Linked DNA regions of Anolis sagrei. The protein of the gene in region 1 interacts with the protein of each later gene in a pairwise test. Links are inferred from orthologs where the notes say so. Each region holds a gene or a part of one and is shown on either strand. Other genes may lie near its edges.

Region 1 (10,398 bases):
TAGAATTAATGCAGTTTGAAACCACTTCAACTTCCCTGGTTCAGTGCTATGGAATCATAGCAGTTGCAGTTTGGTGAGTAACCTGCAATTCTTGGCAGAGATGGCTAAAGACCTTGTAAGGTACAACTCCCATAGTATTGAGCCATAGCAATTGAAGCAGTGTCAAAGTACATTCATTCTACAGTGTAGATGCACCCCAGAGTTTAACCATAATCATTTGCTAATCTTTTAAAAAACAAACTATGTCCAGTTATTTCGTTAGGAGAAGGATCACAGGGATAAGATAGCTTTCTGTTCTTTAGTAAGAGCTCCTGGCATGAAAGCGTGGGCGGCGAGTTCATTCTTGAAAGAGACAGCCCCAGTTCACAGTCTTGCCAAACTCATTCCAGCTACAGACCTGGAGTCACAAAACAATTTCCTCCTCTGCTCTTTTCATTGGCTGAAGGGCTCTCCTCCCCTTGCGCATGGCTTTTAGCCTTCTGTTCGCTTAGGGACAGTAAGCAAATTAGTGCATTTTCTCGTTTATGCAAACAAAATGTAAAAAAAAAAAGTCCCTTCCACACAGCTGAATAAAATCCTACAATTATCTGTTTTTAAACTGGGATATATGACAGTGTGGACTCAGATATTCCAGTTCAAAACAGATATTGTAGGTTATTTTGCCTTGATATTCTTGGTTATATGGCTGTGTGGAAGGACCCAATGGTCTGAAGAAACATCCACAATAAACAAGACATGTTTATTTTACCTGTAGCATTTGGGAAGGGTTCAGGTACATCTATACTATGGAAATTAATGCGGTTTGACACAACTTTGACTGCCATAGCTCAGTATTATGGAATCATAGGAGTTTAGTTTTAGAAGATCTCTGGCCTTCTCTACCAGAGTGCAGGTGCCTCGCCAAACTACAATTCCCAGGATTTTGTATCATTGAGCCATGGCAGTTAAAGTGGATGGTGTGTATATGCATCACAGAGACTGACCTCAAAATGCATTAATTCTACAGTGCAGAGGCTTGCTTCAAACTGCATTAAGTAGGCAGTACATATGGGGCCAAAGTCCAGGGATACTATGAAATAGACACTATAATGGGCATGAGAATGATCTGAGTGTGGACTTAGATAACCCAATTTAAAGCATATCTTGTGGGATTTTCTGCCTTGATATTCTGGGATATTCTGTGTGGAAGGGCCCCAAATTGCATGGTGAAACTGATCAAGGAAAGGGCACTCCAGTAATCTACATGCCGCGATGAACATGCATAGATGGACCCCCCCCCCCCCCCAAATTACCAGCCATAAAGCCATGGATCCTGGAACCAATTTGAGGTCAGTCTCTGTGATGCATATACACACCATCCAGGCCTCAAAGTAGTTCCAGGATTTCACATGTAATTATCTGCACAATGAAATTGTTTCTTCCTTTGTTGGTTTCTCACCACCTAAGTGATCAGTATAGGTGTGCCTCAGGGTTCAAATCCCTGCTCAGCCATGGAAACCCACTGAATGACCTTGATAAGTCACATGCTCCCCCCCCCCCCCAAATATCCCAAGATAGGGTCTCCTTAAGTCAGAACCGACATGAAAGGACACAACGGGGCTGGATTAGCCATTAAGCAAAACAAACATGTGCTTAAGGCATCAAGGGAAGGGAAGCACCACTGAAAAATTCCATTGCTGGATTTACCATGGACCCTATGGTGCAAAAGTGCAATTAGTGCCGCTAAACCACATTCCACAAAAAAAAGACTCCCACAATAAAAGATTTTGCAATCAGAAGAAGTAGGGGGAAACTTTTCAAAGAAAAATAAAGTGGAAGTATAAAAAACATTATTTTCCATTTCATTGTAAGTTTTGTTTCATTTCCAAAAAATGTATGTTTTGTTATTGTTAATATTTTATTTATTTATTTATTTACAGCTTTTATATTCCACCCTTCTCACCCTGCAGGGGACTCAGGGCGGATTACAGTGTACACATATATGGCAAACATTCAATGCCAATTTTTGACATACAATTTTTGACATATAAATTTTGAACTGGAGATGTATTATATATATATATAGCAGCACCAAAACATTTAAAGTGCTTACTGACTCGAACGGGCTGAATCCAACACTCCTTTCAACCTTAGAAAACCCAATTATCAGTTTGTCTTAGGCAGGCCCTATGAACATGGACCATTTAATCCAGTACAAAGCTAGCTTTGAACTGTGGTGGCCAGACAACAAACACCCACAAAAGCATGTGAAAGAAAATCCTTAATGCTCATCAGTATCCATGGCTTGTGAACTCATCAACTGGACCTCAAAATGGTTCCAGGGTTTCCTATGTAATCATCTGCACAGTGAAACCATTTTTTTCAATACTGGTTTGAAACAGCATTAAATAGTTCATGTAGATGGGGCCTCAGAGTGGCACACAAGAACAATACATAAAGACAATAAAAATAAAGCTGGGACAGGCGCCAAATTGTCCTCGTGGGCTCAAAAACACCCATGAAGAATAGTCAGCATACTCAATCATGAGAGATGCAATTGAATCATCTGGAGGGTTCCACATTCCTCATATCTAGATAAAAGAAAACGCTGATATGCTGTATTATGACATAGCGAAATACAACAAACAGTATATTCACTTGGCCGTACAATGCAGTCTATACAGTCTATATACCAGATAGTTCTAGTATATCTATCTTAACTCATATTTATTGAGTATCTCACCTTTCTCTTGACATGGGACCCAATGTTAAAAGAAGACTGAAGTAAAACCTCATGGTAAAAAAGGAGAACATAAATAAGCTGTCACGTTTGCACTTCAAGAACAATAACAAGGGCAGCACACACATCCCATTGAGGGTACATCTACACTGTAGAATTAATGCGGTCTGACATCAGTTTAGCTGCCACGGCTCAATGCTATGTAGTTTGGTGAGGCTCCAGCTCATTTCAGCAAAGAAGACGAAAGACCTTGAAAAATTACAACTCCCTTGACTCTAACACGTGCCATTTTCCCCATAATATTAGAGAAAACATTTTGTTTCCAGGGACAAAGGCTAAGAAAGTCCCTCTTTCTGTTTTGTGAAGAAAAAATCTATCCAATGTATAGCTGAAGAAAGAGACATCATCTTGCATTGCCCCTGAGGGTAGTACACAGTTCTTAAACTGCTGCAAATTACTTTCTGTGGCCTATAAATGAATCAAGCAGGTCCAGACCTGCTATTAGTGAGAGCATAATGTGGTTGCTCGAGGTAGCAGATGTGTTTATATATTTCTAGAGTCTTTTTCTGTCTCCTGGCTGTTCATACACTTCTCAGAAAAACATCCTTGTGGAGGATCCTTATCTTGGGTGGGTTGGCAATCAATTTGAGGTACAAACTTTGGTCCTCCAGGTGTTTTGGACTTCCAGCTGTTAGGATTTGTGGGAGCTGAAGTCCAAAACACCAGGAGGGCCAAAGTTTGCCAATGCCTGGTCTACATTGTAGAATTAATGCAGTTTGCCACCACTTGCACTCCTCTATACTATGGAATCCTGAGAGTTTCAGTTTGGTGAGGCACCAGCTCTGTTTGGCAGAGAAAGGCCATAGCAGTTCAAGTGGTGTCAAACTGCATTAATTCTACAGTGTAGATGCACTCTAGGACTCTTGGGGAGGGGACCTGGGTTCAGCTATGAAAACCCATAATATGTGATTAGCCACAGAGTAGCCATTGAAATCCACAAGCATGTGGACAATTTTAACAGAAAGAAACCATGAAAATGAACAAAATCTGGCTGCCAGTATTAAAAAAAACCTCTAAAATTGAAACAGTAAATAAAAAACAAAACTCAAACACAGGGGAACTCCAGACAAGAAACCATCAGGAACACCTAATCACCTCTCAAGAAAGGAATTTCCTGGGCAGTAACAAGCCACACCTAAAAATTATCAGGCCATCAAATGCTAATCAAGGTGGCCAATTGAAACATTCATACCTAGCTCCAATAAACAAGAGTTCTTTCTCCCACCCTGGACCTTCCACAGATATATAAATCCAATTTCCTTAGTTTCCAACAAACCTCACAACCTCTGAGGATGCTTGCCACAGATAAAGGTGAAACGTCAGAAGAGAATGCTTCTAGAGCATGGCCATACAGTCCGATAAATCTACAACAACCCAGTGATTCCAGCCATGGAAGCCTTCGACAATACATAAATAAAGTGTATTATTATGATTATGATTATTATTGTTGTTGTTGAAAAATGAGTTGTACATTCTTTATTTCCCCTTCTTACTTCTCTGCTGAGTAAATGGATACTATGAAGTAACACACCTCACAACCTCTGAGGATACCTGCCATAGATGTAGGCGAAACGTCAGGGGCGCATGCTTCTGAAACATGGCCATACAGTGGGGGTCCTCAAACTAAGGCCCGGGGGCCGGATACGGCCCTCCAAGGTCATTTACCCGGCCCTCACTCAGTCAACCTAAGTCTGAAATGACTTGAAAGCATACAACAATCCTATCTCATCAGCCAAAACCAGGCCCACACTTCCCATTGGAATACTAATAAATTTATATTTGTTTAAATTGTTCTTCATTTTAATTACTGTATTGTTTTAAAGTGTTTTTTGCACTACAAATAAGATATGTGTACTGTGCATAGGAATTCATTCATGCTTTTTTCAAATTATAATCTGGCCCTCCAACACTTTGAGGGACTGTAACCTGGCCTTCTGTTTAAAAAGTTTGAGGACCCCTGTTCTAGAGGCATTCTCTCCTGATGTTTCGCCTGCACCTATGGCAAGCATCCTCAGAGGTAGTGAGGTCAGACCTTACTACCTCTGAGGATGCTTGCCATGAATGCAGGCAAAACGTCAGGAGAGAATCCCTCTAGAACATGGCCATATGGCCATATAGCCCGAAAAAACCTACAACAACCCCATAAAGTGTATTATTATAATTATGATTATTATTGTTGTTGTTGCGGAAAAATGAGTTGTACATTCTTTATTTTAATTACTACAAGAGAGGAGATTCCATCTGAACATTAGGAAGAACTTCCTGACTGTGAGAGCCGTTCAGCAGTGGAACTCTCTGCCCCGGGGTGTGGTGGAGGCTCCTTCTTTGGAGGCTTTTAAGCAGAGGCTGGATGGCCATTTGTCAGGGGTGATTTGAATGCAATATTCCTGCTTCTTGGCAGGGGGTTGGACTGGATGGCCCATGAGGTCTCTTCCAACTCTATGATTCTATGATTCTATGATTCTATTTCCTCTTCTTACTTCTCTGCTGAGTAAATGGATACTATGAAGTAACACACCTCACAACCTCTGAGGATGCCTGCCATAGATGTAGGCGAAACGTCAGGGGAGCATGCTTCTGAAACAGGGCCATACAGCCTGGAAAACTCACAGCAACCCAAAGCTTCAGTGTTTCCTAGGGTTTGGGACTTCAGGTCCCGGAATCCCTTTTCAGTGGTACGAAACAGCTGAGGCTTTTGGGAGTTGAAGTCCACATTTGGCAGAGCTAGAGTCTAGGTTGAGAACCACTAGCCGGAAGTGACTTGAAGGCACACGGCAGCAACGAAGGGGTTAACGTGTTGCCGCCTCCTCCTCCTCTTCTGTCGCTTTGCGGCACGGCCTGAGAGTGGCACGTTGCTTCCGCTCCCTAACTGATTCAGGGCGGGAAAGAAGGGGAGGAGGGGGGCCTCTTGCGCATGCGCGGCGCGTGGAGGGCGGTCTCGCGCTGCGGCAGCCCAGCGGCTCGGTTTCCTTTGAGGCAGAAGCGAGGAAGGAAGGAAGCGAGCCAGGAAGGTGAGTGGGCGCAACAGGCCGAGCGACCGTTAGACGGGTCTGTGTGTGAGGACCAGGGCCAGGAGCCACGGCTGAAACCAAAAAAGGGAGAAAGAGAGAGAAAGAAAGTCACCAAAAGGCAGCCCGTCTCGCTTATTATGTTCTGCCTCTCACGGCCCTTCTTTTCTGTGGGGTCTTCAAGCCTGGCAAAGAGTACTGGGGCCTCACCAAGTTACAACTCTCATGATTCCATAACCGTTGAAAGGGGGTATTAAACTGCACTCTTTCTCAGGGAGCTCTGATTTAATTAAACCTTCTCTTTCTCTCTGGGTTCATCTTCACTGTAGAATTAATACAATTTGGTGCCTCTTTAACCACCCTGCTTGAATGCTATGTTGCTGTGGGATTTGTAGTTTGGGGAGGCACCAACACACTTTGGCAGAGAAGGGTAAAGACTTTGCAAGACTACAACTCCTAGGATTCAATTTCAATGAGCCATAGCAGTTGAAGAAGAAGAAGCAGAAGAGGAGGAAGAAGAAGAGGAGGAAGCAGCAGCAGCAGAAGAAGCACAAGAACAAGAACTACTTTATTTTTCTACTCCACCTCCATCTCCCCGAAGGGACTCGGGGAGACATATAATAGCATAAGAAATAGCATGGGAACAGAGCAATTAAACAGTATCGGGATTAGTATCAGGGACTTTGTAGTTTGGGGAGGCACCAACACACTTTGGCAGAGAGGGGTAAAGACTTTGCAAAACTACAACTCCTAGGATTCAGTTTCAATGAGCCATAGCAGTTGAAGAAGAAGAAGCAGAAGAGGAGGAAGAAGAAGAGGAGGAGGAAGCAGCAGCAGAAGAACAAGAACTACTTTATTTTTCTAGTCAGCCTCCATCTCCCCGAAGGGACTTGGGGAGATGTATAATAGCATAGGAAATAGCATGGGAACAGAGCAATTAAACAGTATCAGGATTAGTATCAGGGACTTTGTAGTTTGGGGAGGCACCAACACACTTTGGCAGAGAAGGGTAAAGACTTTGCAAGACTACAACTCCTAGGATTCAATTTCAATGAGCCATAGCAGTTGAAGAAGAAGAAGCAGAAGAGGAGGAAGAAGAAGAGGAGGAAGCAGCAGCAGCAGAAGAAGCACAAGAACAAGAACTACTTTATTTTTCTACTCCACCTCCATCTCCCCGAAGGGACTCGGGGAGACATATAATAGCATAAGAAATAGCATGGGAACAGAGCAATTAAACAGTATCGGGATTAGTATCAGGGACTTTGTAGTTTGGGGAGGCACCAACACACTTTGGCAGAGAGGGGTAAAGACTTTGCAAAACTACAACTCCTAGGATTCAGTTTCAATGAGCCATAGCAGTTGAAGAAGAAGAAGCAGAAGAGGAGGAAGAAGAAGAGGAGGAGGAAGCAGCAGCAGAAGAACAAGAACTACTTTATTTTTCTAGTCAGCCTCCATCTCCCCGAAGGGACTTGGGGAGATGTATAATAGCATAGGAAATAGCATGGGAACAGAGCAATTAAACAGTATCAGGATTAGTATCAGGGACTTTGTAGTTTGGGGAGGCACCAACACACTTTGGCAGAGAAGGGTAAAGACTTTGCAAAACTACAACTCCCAGGATTCAATTTCAATGAGCCATAGCAGTTGAAGAAGAAGAAGAAGAGGTAGCAGCGGAGGAAGAGGAGGAAGAAGAAGAGGAGGAGGAGGCAGCAGAAGAAGAAGAAGCAGAAGAACAAGAACTACTTTATTTTTCTACTCCGCCTCTATCTCCCCAAAGGGACTCGGGGAGATGTATAATGGCATAGGAAATAGCATGGGAACAGAGTAATTAAACAGTATCAGGATTAGTATCAGGGACTTTGTAGTTTGGGGAGGCACCAACACACTTTGGCAGAGAAGGGTAAAGACTTTGCAAAACTACAACTCCCAGGATTCAATTTCAATGAACCATAGCAGTTGAAGAAGAAGAAGAAGAAGAGGCAGCAGCGGAGGAAGAGGAGGAGGAGGAGGAGGAGGAAGCAGCAGCAGCAGAAGAACAAGAACTACTTTAGTTTTCTACTCCACCTCCATCTCCCCGAAGGGACTCGGGACGGCTTACATGATGCCAAGCCCAGGCAGAATACAATTAAAAACAGAACAATACCAAATTTCAAATTAAAAATAGCATAAAACAGCATAACAGTAGTAAGCAAGCATCAAGCAACAACAGACTAATTTTGGAGGGGAGGTGGGAGGAAGGAGGCCAGTATGCGAAACTGGTTAAAGCAGTGGTTCTCAACCTGTGGGTCCCCAGGTGTTTTGGCCTACAACTCCCAGAAATCCCAGCCAGTTTACCAGCTATTAGGATTTCTGGGAGTTGAAGGCCAAAAACATCTGGGGACCCCAGGTTGAGAACCACTGAGTCAAAGGGTAAGTGTTTCAATAAGGTGGATGAAAACATATAATAGCATAGGAAATAGCATGGAAACAGAGCAATTAAACAGCATCAGGACTGTGGCGCAGCTGGCTGAGTGTCAGCTGCATTAAGATCACTTCTGACCAAAAGGTCATAAGTTCGAAGCCAGCCCGGCTCGGAGTGAGCTTCCGACCAATTGTGTAGCTTGTTGTCGACCTTTGTAACCCAAATGACAGTTGCATCTGTCAAGTAGGAAAATTAGGTACCACCTATGTGTGGGGAGGCTAATTTAACTAATTTATGAGGCCATAAAATGACTCCAGCAAAGCACTCCAGCAAAAGCATGTAGGGAATGCAGAAGTACTTCATCAGTGTCGCATATGGACGATGAAAGCAACAGCTCCCCTGGCAGCCAGAAAAGTTAAATAGCCTCTGACTGTCGGTCTATATGTGTTGCGTGTCTTTGGCATTGAATGTTTGCCATATATGTGTACATTGTAATTCGCCCTGAGTCCCCTGTGGGGTGAGAAGGGCGAAATATAAATACTGTAAGTAAGTAAATAAATAAATAAATTTAGCTTAACTTACAAATATGAGTAGTAATATAATATAGGAATTCAGATTAAGTCATTAAGGTCATGATGGTATCAAACTGCATTGATTTTGCAGTGTGGACTGGGCACACCTTCTGCCTGTGCCTTTGGTAAGTGCTGTATGAATAGCTGGCTGAGACCCCTTTCGCACAGCTAAATAAAATCACACATTTTCTGCTTTGAACTGGAATATATGGTAGTGTGGACTCAGATAACCTAGAGGCTCAGATAACCTAGAGGCTGCCTTCCACATAGCCCTCTATCCCAGAATATCAAGGCAGAAAATCCCACAATATCTGAGTGCAGACTCAGATAACCCAGCTCAAAGCAGATATTTTGGGATTTTCTGCCTCAACATTCTGAGTTATATGGTTGTGTTGAAGGGCCCTGAGTGTAAAACCCCAAGTCCCTCTCTCCAAATAGACATTATTAAAAGGGATGCATGAAGTCAAAAGGCTCTCACACAATCTCCCAGGTGTCTTTCTAGTGGCACATATGCATTGTCGAACAAATGTAGTTTGACAGCACTTTAACAGCCATGGTGCTATGCTGTGGAACCTTGTGATTTGTACTCTGTTGAGCCACCAGCACTCATTCACCGAGAAGGCTAAAGACGCTGTAAAACAAAAATAGCATTGAACCATGTCAGTTAAAGTGGTATTAATTTTTCAGTGCAGATGTACCTTATAACACTGGAGCAGAGGAGATTGCATTAACTGTACAGTGTAGATGAGCTCTGGGGCCCCTTCCACAAAGCTGAATAAAATTCCACATTTTCTGCTTTGAATTGGAATATATGGCAGAGTGGACTCTGATAACCCAGGGCCCTTCCACACAGCCCTATATCCCAGAATATCAAGGCAGAAAATCCCACATTATCTAAGTGTGGATTAAAATAACCCAGTTCAAAGCAGATATTGTGGGATTTTCTGCCTTGGTATTCTGGGATATAGGGCAGTGTGGAAGGGCCCCTAGTTCAAAGCAGATATGGTGGGATTTTCTGCCTTGATATTCTGGGTTATATGGCTGTGTGGAAGGGCACGGGATGTCCTTTTTTTTCCTCTACAGAATCACATGGGTTGACATAGGGCCCTTCCACATAGCCATATAACCCAGAATATCAAGGCAGAAAATCTCACAATATCTGATTTGAACTGAGTTATCTAAGGGGCCTTCCAGACAGGCCTTTTATCCCAGGATCTGATCCCTAGTTTTCTGTTTATCCCAGATTATTTGGCAGTGCGGACATATATAATCCAATTTAAAGCAGAAAACCTGGGATCAGATACTGGGATATAGGGCTGTCTGGAAAGGCCCTGAGTCCACACTGCTATACATTGCAGTTCAAAGCAGATAATGTAGAATTTTATTTATCTGTGTGGAAGGAGCCATAGTATTTTTTTTCTGTTAGAGGATGGCATTTACAACTCCATCCAGTGTCCTATCAGTGGTAGGACACTGGAGTTTTTTCTTGTCCTTAGACATTTGTGTCATATGATACACAAGTTTCTGTGCTAAGAAAGAATATTCTCCACGTGAGAAGCCAAGGTTCTCTTTAGTGATTGATAGGAGAAACACTCAGGAGCAGATCTTGAGGGGAAGAGTCATTTTTAACATGAGAAA
Region 2 (10,195 bases), on another chromosome or scaffold:
CAACCATCCAACAATTTTTGAGTATCCGTTATCTGTAATTCAGAAACACTCCAGAATCCAAAATAATTTGAAAAATCCACAACCTATTGGATATAAGTGCACCATAACCTTATTGAAAAAGTAAGAATGATGTCACATCCATTTGGCAAATGTGAATCTCCATGAACGGTAGCAAGAGGCCCCATGCAGTGATGTGGAGGAGGAGAAGGAAGGTAAGGAGAGCGAGGGAGCAGCTCTTCTTCCCCCCTCACCCTCCTTACCTTCCTCATCATTCTCCTCTTTGCTGCCTGGGGCCTCTTGCTGCGACGCTGCATGGGGCCCAAGCTGCAGCAAGAGGCCCCAGGCGGCAAAGAGGAGGAGGAAGAGGAAGGTAAAGAGGGTGAGGGGTGGTTCTTCTTCCCCCCTCACCCTCCTTACCTTCCTCATCCTCCTCCTCTTCGCTGCCTGGGGCCTCTTGCTGCGACACCGCATGGGGTCCAAGCGGCAGCAAGAGGCCCCAAGCGGCAAAGAGGAGAATGATGAAGAAGGTAAGGAGGGTGAAATTATTTTCTTTTTTAAAAACCCCATGAAACAGCAAGTCTGCGATAAGTGGACCACAAAGGAGTGAGGGACCACTGTAGTCTTCTTTAAAAATAACATCTCAGGTTTACTAACAAACTTCTTGTATATTTGGGAGCTGGACTTCAGAGAAGGCTGAGCAAAGGAAGATAGATGCTTTTGAACTGTGGTGTTGGAGGAAAGTTCTGAGAGTGCTTTGGACCGCGAGAAGATCCAACCAGTCCATCCTCCAGGAAACAAAACCCGACTACTCATTGGAGGGAAGAATATTAGAGACAAAGATGAAGTACTTTGGCCACATCATGAGAAGACAGGAAAGCTTAGAGAAGACAATTATGCTGGGAAAAATGGAAGGAAAAAGGAAGAGGGGCTGACAAAGGGCAAGATGGATGAATGGTATCCTTGAAGTGACTGGATTGATCTTGAAGGAGCTGGGGGTGGTGACGGCCGACAGGGAGCTCTGGCATGGGCTGGTCCATAAGGTCACGAAGAGTCAGAAACGACTGAACGAATGAACAACAACAAAGTCAATAGTCGAATGTCTTTAAGATACAGATATAGTCCAAACTGTATAACCATACTCACTGAAGTCTGAAAATCATACTTCTCTACTAAAGTCCAGACAGCAACATGCATCCACCTCCACTGAGGTCTGATGCAAACTGGATAACAAACATGGAGTTCTGTGCCTGAAGCTCCTTCACACCAAAGAGGTACAGTTAAACTGGCAAACCAAAATGTACATACAATATAGGTTAACAATTATACACATTTACAAACAGTTACTGGAGGCTTGGAAAGTTGCTATTTCCAACAAAAAGTGTCCATTTGCATGGGGGAGAAAATGACACCTTTGCTTTACAATGGCTCAGTGTACACAAATTTTGTTTCATGCATAACTTAATCAAGAAATAAAATTACCATCAGGCAATGTGTGTAAGGTGCATGTGAAACATAAATGAACTCTATGTTTGGACTTGATCTATATTTTACAAGTATGGTAAGGTGTGAGAACAGGGAGAAGTGTATGAATTGGGGTGTTGGGTTGCTGATTGGTTCATGAAAGAAGATGTCAGAAGGGAAAATGTGATAGTTAGGGAAGGAGAGTGCAAGAAATGGCAGGTGGGCTGGAGAGAACATACAGCCCACTGTTGGGAACTTGTACCAGTCAGATAATAATAGCTCAGCCTTTGACTTTTTCCTGCTTAACTGTGGTGTACATGTAGAAAGGGAAAGGCTATGTTCCCAAAAACCATATAGTAGAAGGGGTGTGTTATAATGTATCCTTTTGCTCCTGAGAAATGAACTCATGCAGAGATAGCACCACAAGCTACTTTTAAAGCCAGGGTGCATCTACACTACATGTAGTCTCCATGTGGTCTATGCTTATTTAGAGGAAGATCTACAAACCACATTGAGCCGTAGTAATTCAAGTCATATCAAACTACATTCATTCTTTAGTGCAACCTCAGTGATCGCATACCTTCTTTGATTATTCAGTCTGTGGTCAGTCAGTAGTGATTATAAAATTGGGGCCAGTGCAATTCTCACAATGTTAGTTATTTGTGTCTGTAATACATTATACAGTATAGTATATATTCACAGTAAAGTAAAATTTAATTATGTATATACAGTACATTATACAATATTATATAATATAGCATTAAAATTATTTTTACTTATAGTACTGGCCTCCTGATGGCGTTAAAGTGGGTTAAAGCGCTGAGTTGCTGAACTTGCTAACTGAAAGGTTGGCAAGTCAAATCCAGGGAGCTGGCTGAGCTCCCGCTGTTAGGCACAACTTTTGCCAACCTAGCAGTTCGAAAACATGCAAATGAGAGTAGATCAATAGGTACTGCTCCAGCAGGAAGGTAACAGTGCTCCATGCAGTCATGCCGGTTACATGACCTTGGAGGCATCTATCGACAATGCCAGCTCTTTGGCTTAGAAATGGAGATGAGCACTACCCACCAGAGTCAGACACAACTAGACTTAATGTCAGGGGAAACTTTTACCTTACTGTACAGTAGTCACATTGGCAACTAAGTGCAATGATGAAGCTAAAATAACTTTTGCACATGTTGAAAAGTGATGTATAGCATTTATTTTTTACATTTTTGGTAGCCAAAATGCAGTGAAGAGCTTTGAAAAGACTGGGTTCCTCTTTTCAACCAATTCTGTTTCCTAACATTGCTCTGGTGCTTAACCCATAGGATGAATGGGGGCTTCCTGAAACTAGAAATGATTGGCCCCTTGGTGTGAATTATTCAAGCTAAGGAAAACACTCCCTTGAGCATAGCACCTGTGGCAATAGCATAGACAAGGAGGTCCCGTAAGATTTCTGACAGATAACAGGGAGAGACAGAAACCAAAGAAATCCAGCTCTCTACTTTAAGAAAATAATTTTCTATATCTCACTAACCTGCACTCCTTAAAACTCCCTTGCTCCCTTTCCCTTACTCATTTGAAGGACTCATTCCATAACTTACTACTATAACTGTCTCACTTATCCTAACCATGGATTGGAATCTGTGTGGCTTTGAAGTTGTTGTTGGAGTGCAACTCCGAGCGGCTATAACAGGAACAAAGGTCAGGATTTGCATTCACTGAACTGGTCCATACGATTCCATAGGTTAAATGTCTTAACACTGTTCTTACAATTCACTATTCCCACCCACTACAATTTAATGCAGCTTAGAACTGGTATGGGAGGAACTGGTTTTGCTCTGCAGGTGATTAGATTGCCATGTCTGCAACCAGTTTGAAGTAAGGATGGTGATTATATTGAACCTGGCCTCTAAGCATTGTGCAGACTTTCCCCCCAATTTCTGTAGAGGTGCGCATCAGCAAATTAGGCATGTGGGATTTAAAAGTAGGGAGGGATTACCGTGAAGAGCAGAGGTGATCAATTACTACTCAAAGACAGTCAATTAGTCATGCCCTGGGTGGGGGGGTCTTAGTAGCCCTCATTCTGGTTTATTTACTGTGCTTCAGCAGCAGTGGGTATCTGCAGTGCACTCTGCATTTTGTGGAGCCAATTTTGCCCTGGACCTCGGATACACTGGTATTTGTTGCGGTGCATTCCCTGCAACTTTTAAAAATGTACTGTATGTTCTCTTTAATGTGTGCTGCAGTGCGCACTGGCGGCATGTGTTTTGTGGCCTCCGTGATTTCATTTTAAAGCACTATTGAGTGCTTTCCGTAAGCCACCCTGAGTCCCTTTGGGGAGATGGTGGTGGGATACAAATAAAGTGTTGTTGTTGTTGGGTTGTTGTGGGTTACATGGCCATGTTCTAGAAGCATTCTCTCCTGACATTTCACCTGCATCTATGGCAGGCATCCTCATAGGTGAGGTTGTGTTGTTGTTGTTGTTGTTGTTGGCTGCATTATGCTGTTTGGATAGATGGGGCCTGCCTCTCCAAATGTGTTCCAAAGACCAAAAATGGTTCCAATAACTCTTCTGTAACTCACTCTGTTTTACTAACTAACTCTAACTCCAATTCATTGTCTCTGTCATTGGCTTACTTCCCACAAAAGCCATCTTTCAGTAAGATTTCATAAAAGCCAGCCAGAAGGGGATGCATCACAATGGAAGACATGTCTCCATTATTTAGCAATCAGGCTCAAAAATGTGAAGATACGTCTTCAATTGTGTCTTGAGTTCTGACAGCTCCCAGGATTCTGTTGCATTGAGCCATGGCACTTAAAGTGGTGTCGTACCACATTGTAGAAGCATCCCAAGAGATTTTGAACTAGAGCGGTGCAGACTTGCCATTTCAGTCTTAAGCAGAAGCTTTGTGCTGGACTATTTTGAACTGTCTTAGAGCGCATCAATATTGTGGAACGCAGTTTGATACCACAATGTCTCAATGCTATGCTATCCTGGGAGTTGTAGTTTGGTGAGCCATCAGCACTTTTTGAAAGAGAAGACTACAAACTCCCCGGATTCCATAGAATCGAACCATGGCACTTAAAAGGGGTGTCGAACTGCATTAATTTTACAGTGTAGAAGCATCCTTGCTCTTTGTGAACTGTATAAAACAACAACAACAATAATATCCTGATTCTGTCTTGATTGAAAAACAATGCGGTTCACAACATTTTAAAAAATGTGTGATTTAAAAACCACAACACACAAATATGGAAATAGGTAGGTAAATAGTTTATTCAATGCTTAGACCATAGGTCTTTCACACACAGGACAGATAAACAAATACATAAAAACCAGATTATAAAATACAATACAAAATGCAACATTGAAATACTATATATATAATTAGGATCATTAAAATGCTACATAAATAATATAATTACAGTAATAATAAAAGTATATATATATACTAGCCATCCCCTGCCACGTGTGTGTGTATGTGTGTATATATATATGGGTGTATATATTTGTGTATATCTGTAAATGCATATTGCGTATATGTGTGTGCTTGTCTACATGCATATTTGTGTGTATATATGTATGCATGTGGATATGTATATGTGCATGAATATGTACATGTGTATAAGTATATATATGTGTGTGTATGTATATGTATGTGTGTATGTTTGTGTGCGTGCGTATATATACATGTGTGTGTGTATGAATGTGTGCATATGTATATGAGTGTATATGTATATGTAATGTATTTTTGTGGTTTTAAAGTCTGTTCCACTGGGGTTTTGTGTGTATGTGTTTATGAGTGATGGACATTCGTTGGACTGTTAGGTGTATTGTGTCCAAATTTTGTGTCAATTCGTCCAGTGGTTTTTGAGTTATGTTAATCCCACAAATGAACATTACATTTTTATTTATATAGATATTATTAAAATCATTAAAATGCTATAATAATAATAATAATAATAATAATAATAATATCGAACTGCAAAGACTCTGGCACAAGCCAGTCAAGGTGGTCCCAGTGGTGATCGACACACTGGGTGCAGTGTCTAAAGACCTTGGCCTGCACTTAAACACAATCAGCACTGACAAAATTACCATCTGCTATCTGCAAAAGGCCACCTTACTGGGATCTGCACACATTATTAGCCGATACATCACACAGTCCTAGACACTTGGGAAGTGTCCGACGTGTGATCCAGTACAACAGCCAGCAGAGTGATCTTGTCTGCTGTGGCCTCATCTTGTTATATTTCTAATAATAATAATAACAATAACAATAATAATAGAATTGAATCTTGTTTGCTGTGGACTCATCTTGTTCTGTTTTAATAATAATAATGATGATGATGATAATAATTGAATTGAACCTTGTTTGCTGTGGACTCATCTTGTTGTGTTTCAAATAATAATAATAATAATAATAATAATTATAATTATTATTATTATTATTATTATTTATATACCGCCCTATCTCCCCAAAGAGACTCAGGGCTGTTTCCAGTCAAAAATGGCCAAAATTAAATGCCAGAATACACTAACAATGAGAAACAAACAAACAAATAAACAAGTCCAGAATCCTCTTAACCTAGTGGTTGAGAAACTTTGATCTTCCAGATGTGTTGGACTTCATCTCCCAGAATCCCATGCCTTTGGCCAAGTTGGTTGCGACTTCTGGGAGTTGAAGTCCAAAAGAAGACCAAAGTTTGGGAGGAAGAAGGCAAAAGCGCCTCCTTCCTCTCCAGGCGCAAAATTGCAAGGGTGCCTTTCCTTCCCTTGGTTTTGCGTCTTTTTTCCTTTTCGAACTTTAGCCACGCTCCCTGGGCTTTGGCCCTTCCATTGGTTAAGAAAGGGAGCCCTGCAGTACCCGACATCGTCCGCTGGGGGCGCTGTTTCCAATCCGGTCCCGCGCGAGTCCGGGGCGTTTTGTGGGTGTCTCTGCTTGTCTCCAAACGGGATCTTTGCCTCCTTTTTCTTTTCTATCGTGGCGTGGGATTGCCTTTTCTCTCTCTTGTGGATCGTGGAAGGACGGATCCAACAGCTTGAAGGTAAGACTCTCTTTGAAAAAACCGGGGGAGCACGTTGTTCCTCTCCCCAACTCAACCAAATCCACGATCCCGCGTGATTATTTGGCTGCCTCGCCCCATTGGGGTCTGGGATCGCTTTCAGAGGGAAGCCCAGCGTGGAAGGAAGGAGTCGTGCGTGGGTATTTCTTTCTCGTGTCCCAGCCAAAGAGGAGGGGGAGAGGGCGCCTCTCGGATTGTGCAACAGATTGGAGTCGTCAAAAGTTGGCTCCTTGCTTCCCTTTCTTTGGAAGAGAATAGGAAGCCAGCCTCGTGGGGATCAAGGACTCCCCTGCATCATAGGACAGAATACTTGAACTGCCCTGTCTCCATGCTATATGGGAGTTGTAGTTTGGGTTGTTTGAGGATAGCCCCAAACCCATTCGACTCAAGGAGCATCTACACTGTAGAATTAATATAATTGCACACCACTTTTAATTGCCGTGTCTCAATGCTCTGGGGATCCTGAGAGTTGTAGTTTGGTGACCTTGTCAAACTACAATTCCCAGGATCCCCATAGTACTTGGACATGGGAGTTGCAACTGCATGGATTCTACACTGTAGATGCATCCATGGCTGAATGGTATGGGGATCCTGGGAGTTGTAGTTTGGTAGCCATTGTCAGACTAAAGACCTTGCCAAACTACAACTCCTAGGAACCTCATAGCGTTTAAACATGACAGTTCCAGTGGTGTCAAACTGCAGGGATGCTATAGGGATCCTGAGAGTTGTAGTTTGGCGACTGTGTCAAACTAAAGAACTTGGCAAACTAGGATCCCCATAGTATTGAGACATGGCACTTCCAAGTGGTGTCAAACTGCATGGATGTTATGGGGGCCCTGGGAGTTGTAGTTTGGTAATCGTATCAAACTAAAGACTTTGCCAAACTACAACTCCCAGGATCCACATAGTATTGAGACATGGCAGTTAGTTGCAAGAGGTATCAAACTGCATAGATTCTACACTATGTAGATGCACCCTTGGCTGGATGCTATGGGGATCCTGGAAGTTGTAGTTTGGTGACCGTATCAAACTAAAGACATTGGCAAACTACAACTCCCAGGATCCTCATAGCATTGAGACATGGCAATTCCAGGTGGTGTCAAACTGCATGACTACAACTTCCAGGATCCCCATGGCATTGAGATATGGCAGTTCCAAGTGGTGTCAAACTGCAGGGATGCTATGGGGATCCTGGAAGTTATGGTTTGGTCACCTTGACAAACTAAAGACCTTGTCAAACTACAACTCCAGGTTCCCCATAGCATTGAGACATGGCAGTTCCAAGTGGTGTCAAACTGCAGGGATGCTATGGGGATCCTGGAAGTTGTAGTTTGGTCACCTTGACAAACTAAAGACCTTGTCAAACTACAACTCCCAGGTTCCCCATAGCATTGAGACATGACAGTTCCAAGTGGTGTCAAACTGCATGGATTCTGCACTTTAGATGCACCCATGGCTGAATGTTATGGGGATCCTGGGAGTTGTAGTTTGGTGTTAAACTAAAGACCTTGGCAAACTACAACTCCCAGGATCCCCATAGTATTGAGACATGGCAGTTCCACATGGTGTCAAACAGAATGCTATGGGGATCCTGCGAGTTTGACTTTGACAAGACCTTGTGCCTTCTCTGCCCAAGAGTGCTGGTGCCTCACTAAGCTACAAATCCCATGTTTCCATCGCATTATGGCCTGCCATTTCCATGTGGTGTCAAACTGGATCTATTCTAAAGTGAGTTTCTAATTCTATTTTAAATGGCAATGTTTATGTCTCGTTTTGCCTGGCCGAAGCATCAAATTGCAAAACTCTCTAGAAAGTTACTATTGTCATTAGGCCACACTTCTCTGTTATTAGGATCTTTCAAGGGGTTTGGGCATGTTTTGGGGGTAAATGTAAAAAAATGCAAAATCCAGAAGGACAAGTTTATTAATGCAGTATATACTTTGGGAAATCCTATATTTCTTTTTCCAAGGTTAGGCTCCTTGGGCCCTTGGCGTGCCTTGTGACTTGGGCTCCCTCTGCAGCACCCAAGGGCTGAGCGTGACTTGTTTGAATTGAATTAAAAGCCCGCAGAAAGAAGTGTGTGGCGGGGATGGGAAGTGCTCTGTTTCCAAAAGCTGTGCCTGGTTGGAGTAGTCATGCGCTGGGTTGTTGCCTCTTGCCTTGCCAAGGAAGGAGGATCACGGAGAGCAAATTAAAGTCCCTGTGGAGGCAGGGTGTGCATCTACACTATAATTAATTCAGTTTGACACCCCTTTCACTACATTTTCAGCAGGGAAACTGATGATGACGACGACGACGATACACACATTGAGTCTCTCTTAGCAGAAATGCTTGGGACCAAAAGTGTTTTGAGGTTCTGGAAGTTATAGTTTAGTAAGGCACATTCCCTCTTTGGCAGAGAAGCCTAAAGGTCTTGAAAAACTACAACTCCCATGATTAAATAGCACTGAGTTGTGGCAGTTAAAGGGTGCATCTACTACACTTGACCGAAAAGTCGCAGGTTCAAATCCGGTTTCTGCTGTCATGAGTTTCTGCTGTCAGCCCCAGCTTCTGCCAACCTGAAGCTGGGGCTGACATGCAAGTGTGAGTAGATCAATAGGTACCACTCCAGTGGGAAGGTAACGGCGCTCCATGCAGTCATGCAGGCCACATGATCTTGGAGGTGTCTACGGACAATGCTGGCTTCTGGCTTAGAAATGGAGATGACCACCAATCGGACACGACTGGACTTAATGTCAGGGGAAAACCTTTACCTTTACCTTACTACACTGTAGAATGAATTAGTCTATACTACGAGCTATCCTGGAGATGAGACCAGTGCGTAAACACAAAATTCATGGATGTTGCACATACATCTTAATACATTTGAGTAATTTTCTCCATCACTTGTTTCCATCATGTTGGTCATGAAACTATATGCATTAAATTATCACAAAAAGCAATCACATCCCTATGGGTGCATCTACACCAGTGGTTCCCAACCTTTGGGCCTCCAGGTCTTTTGGACTTCAACTCCCAGAAATCCCAGCCAGTTTACCAGCTGTTAGGAACTATGGGAGCCGAAGTCTAAAACACCTGGAGGCCCAAAGATTGGAGACCACTGATGTACACAGTAGAACGGGAGCAGTTTAACATCACTTTAACTATGAGGGCACAATGCTATGGATTTCCGGGAGTTGTAGTTTTGCAAGACCTTTAGCTGTCTCTGCCAAAGAGTGCTGTTGACTCCTTGAACTATAAATCCCAGGATTCCATAGCCTTATGCCATGGCAGTAGTGTCAAACTTTATTAAGTCTATAGCGTCCTATGTTAGATTTGCCCAATGTCAGTCTACAGATTTGTCCTATGTCAGCCACCCATATGGACAATTTTAGACTTTGGAATTCTAGCAAATGAATTCTCAAGCTGTAATAAATAATAATGATAATAATGAGCCCCTGGTGGCACAGTGGGTTAAACTGCCGAGCTGCTGAACTTACTGACCAAAAGGTCAGCGGTTCGAATCTGGGGAGCAGGGTGAGCTCCTGCAGTTGACCCTAGCAGTTTGAAAACATTCAGGTGTGAGTAAATTGGTACCGCTTCTGTGGGAAGGTAATGGCGCTCCATGCAGTCATGCCAGCCATATCTCGTCTTCCTTTACCTTTACCTGAATTAATAATAATATAATAATAATAATTAGTTT

The links.
Region 2: the proteins of NT5C2 (region 1) and MOB3B interact in binary tests that used the Homo sapiens proteins (3 or more experiments, as listed by UniProt). The two-hybrid records come from large-scale screens. The link is inferred for Anolis sagrei from reciprocal best matches to the Homo sapiens genes NT5C2 and MOB3B.

Annotation. Positions count from the first base shown.
Region 1 is NC_090023.1:214,181,710-214,192,107, forward strand, and holds the start of NT5C2 (cytosolic purine 5'-nucleotidase), read left to right. Parts: upstream 1-5,682; 5' UTR 5,683-5,790; intron 5,791-10,398. UniProt on the Homo sapiens protein: Broad specificity cytosolic 5'-nucleotidase that catalyzes the dephosphorylation of 6-hydroxypurine nucleoside 5'-monophosphates.
Region 2 is NC_090022.1:202,404,517-202,414,711, reverse strand, and holds the start of MOB3B (MOB kinase activator 3B), read left to right. Parts: upstream 1-6,329; 5' UTR 6,330-6,495; intron 6,496-10,195. UniProt on the Homo sapiens protein: Modulates LATS1 expression in the Hippo signaling pathway which plays a pivotal role in organ size control and tumor suppression by restricting proliferation and promoting apoptosis.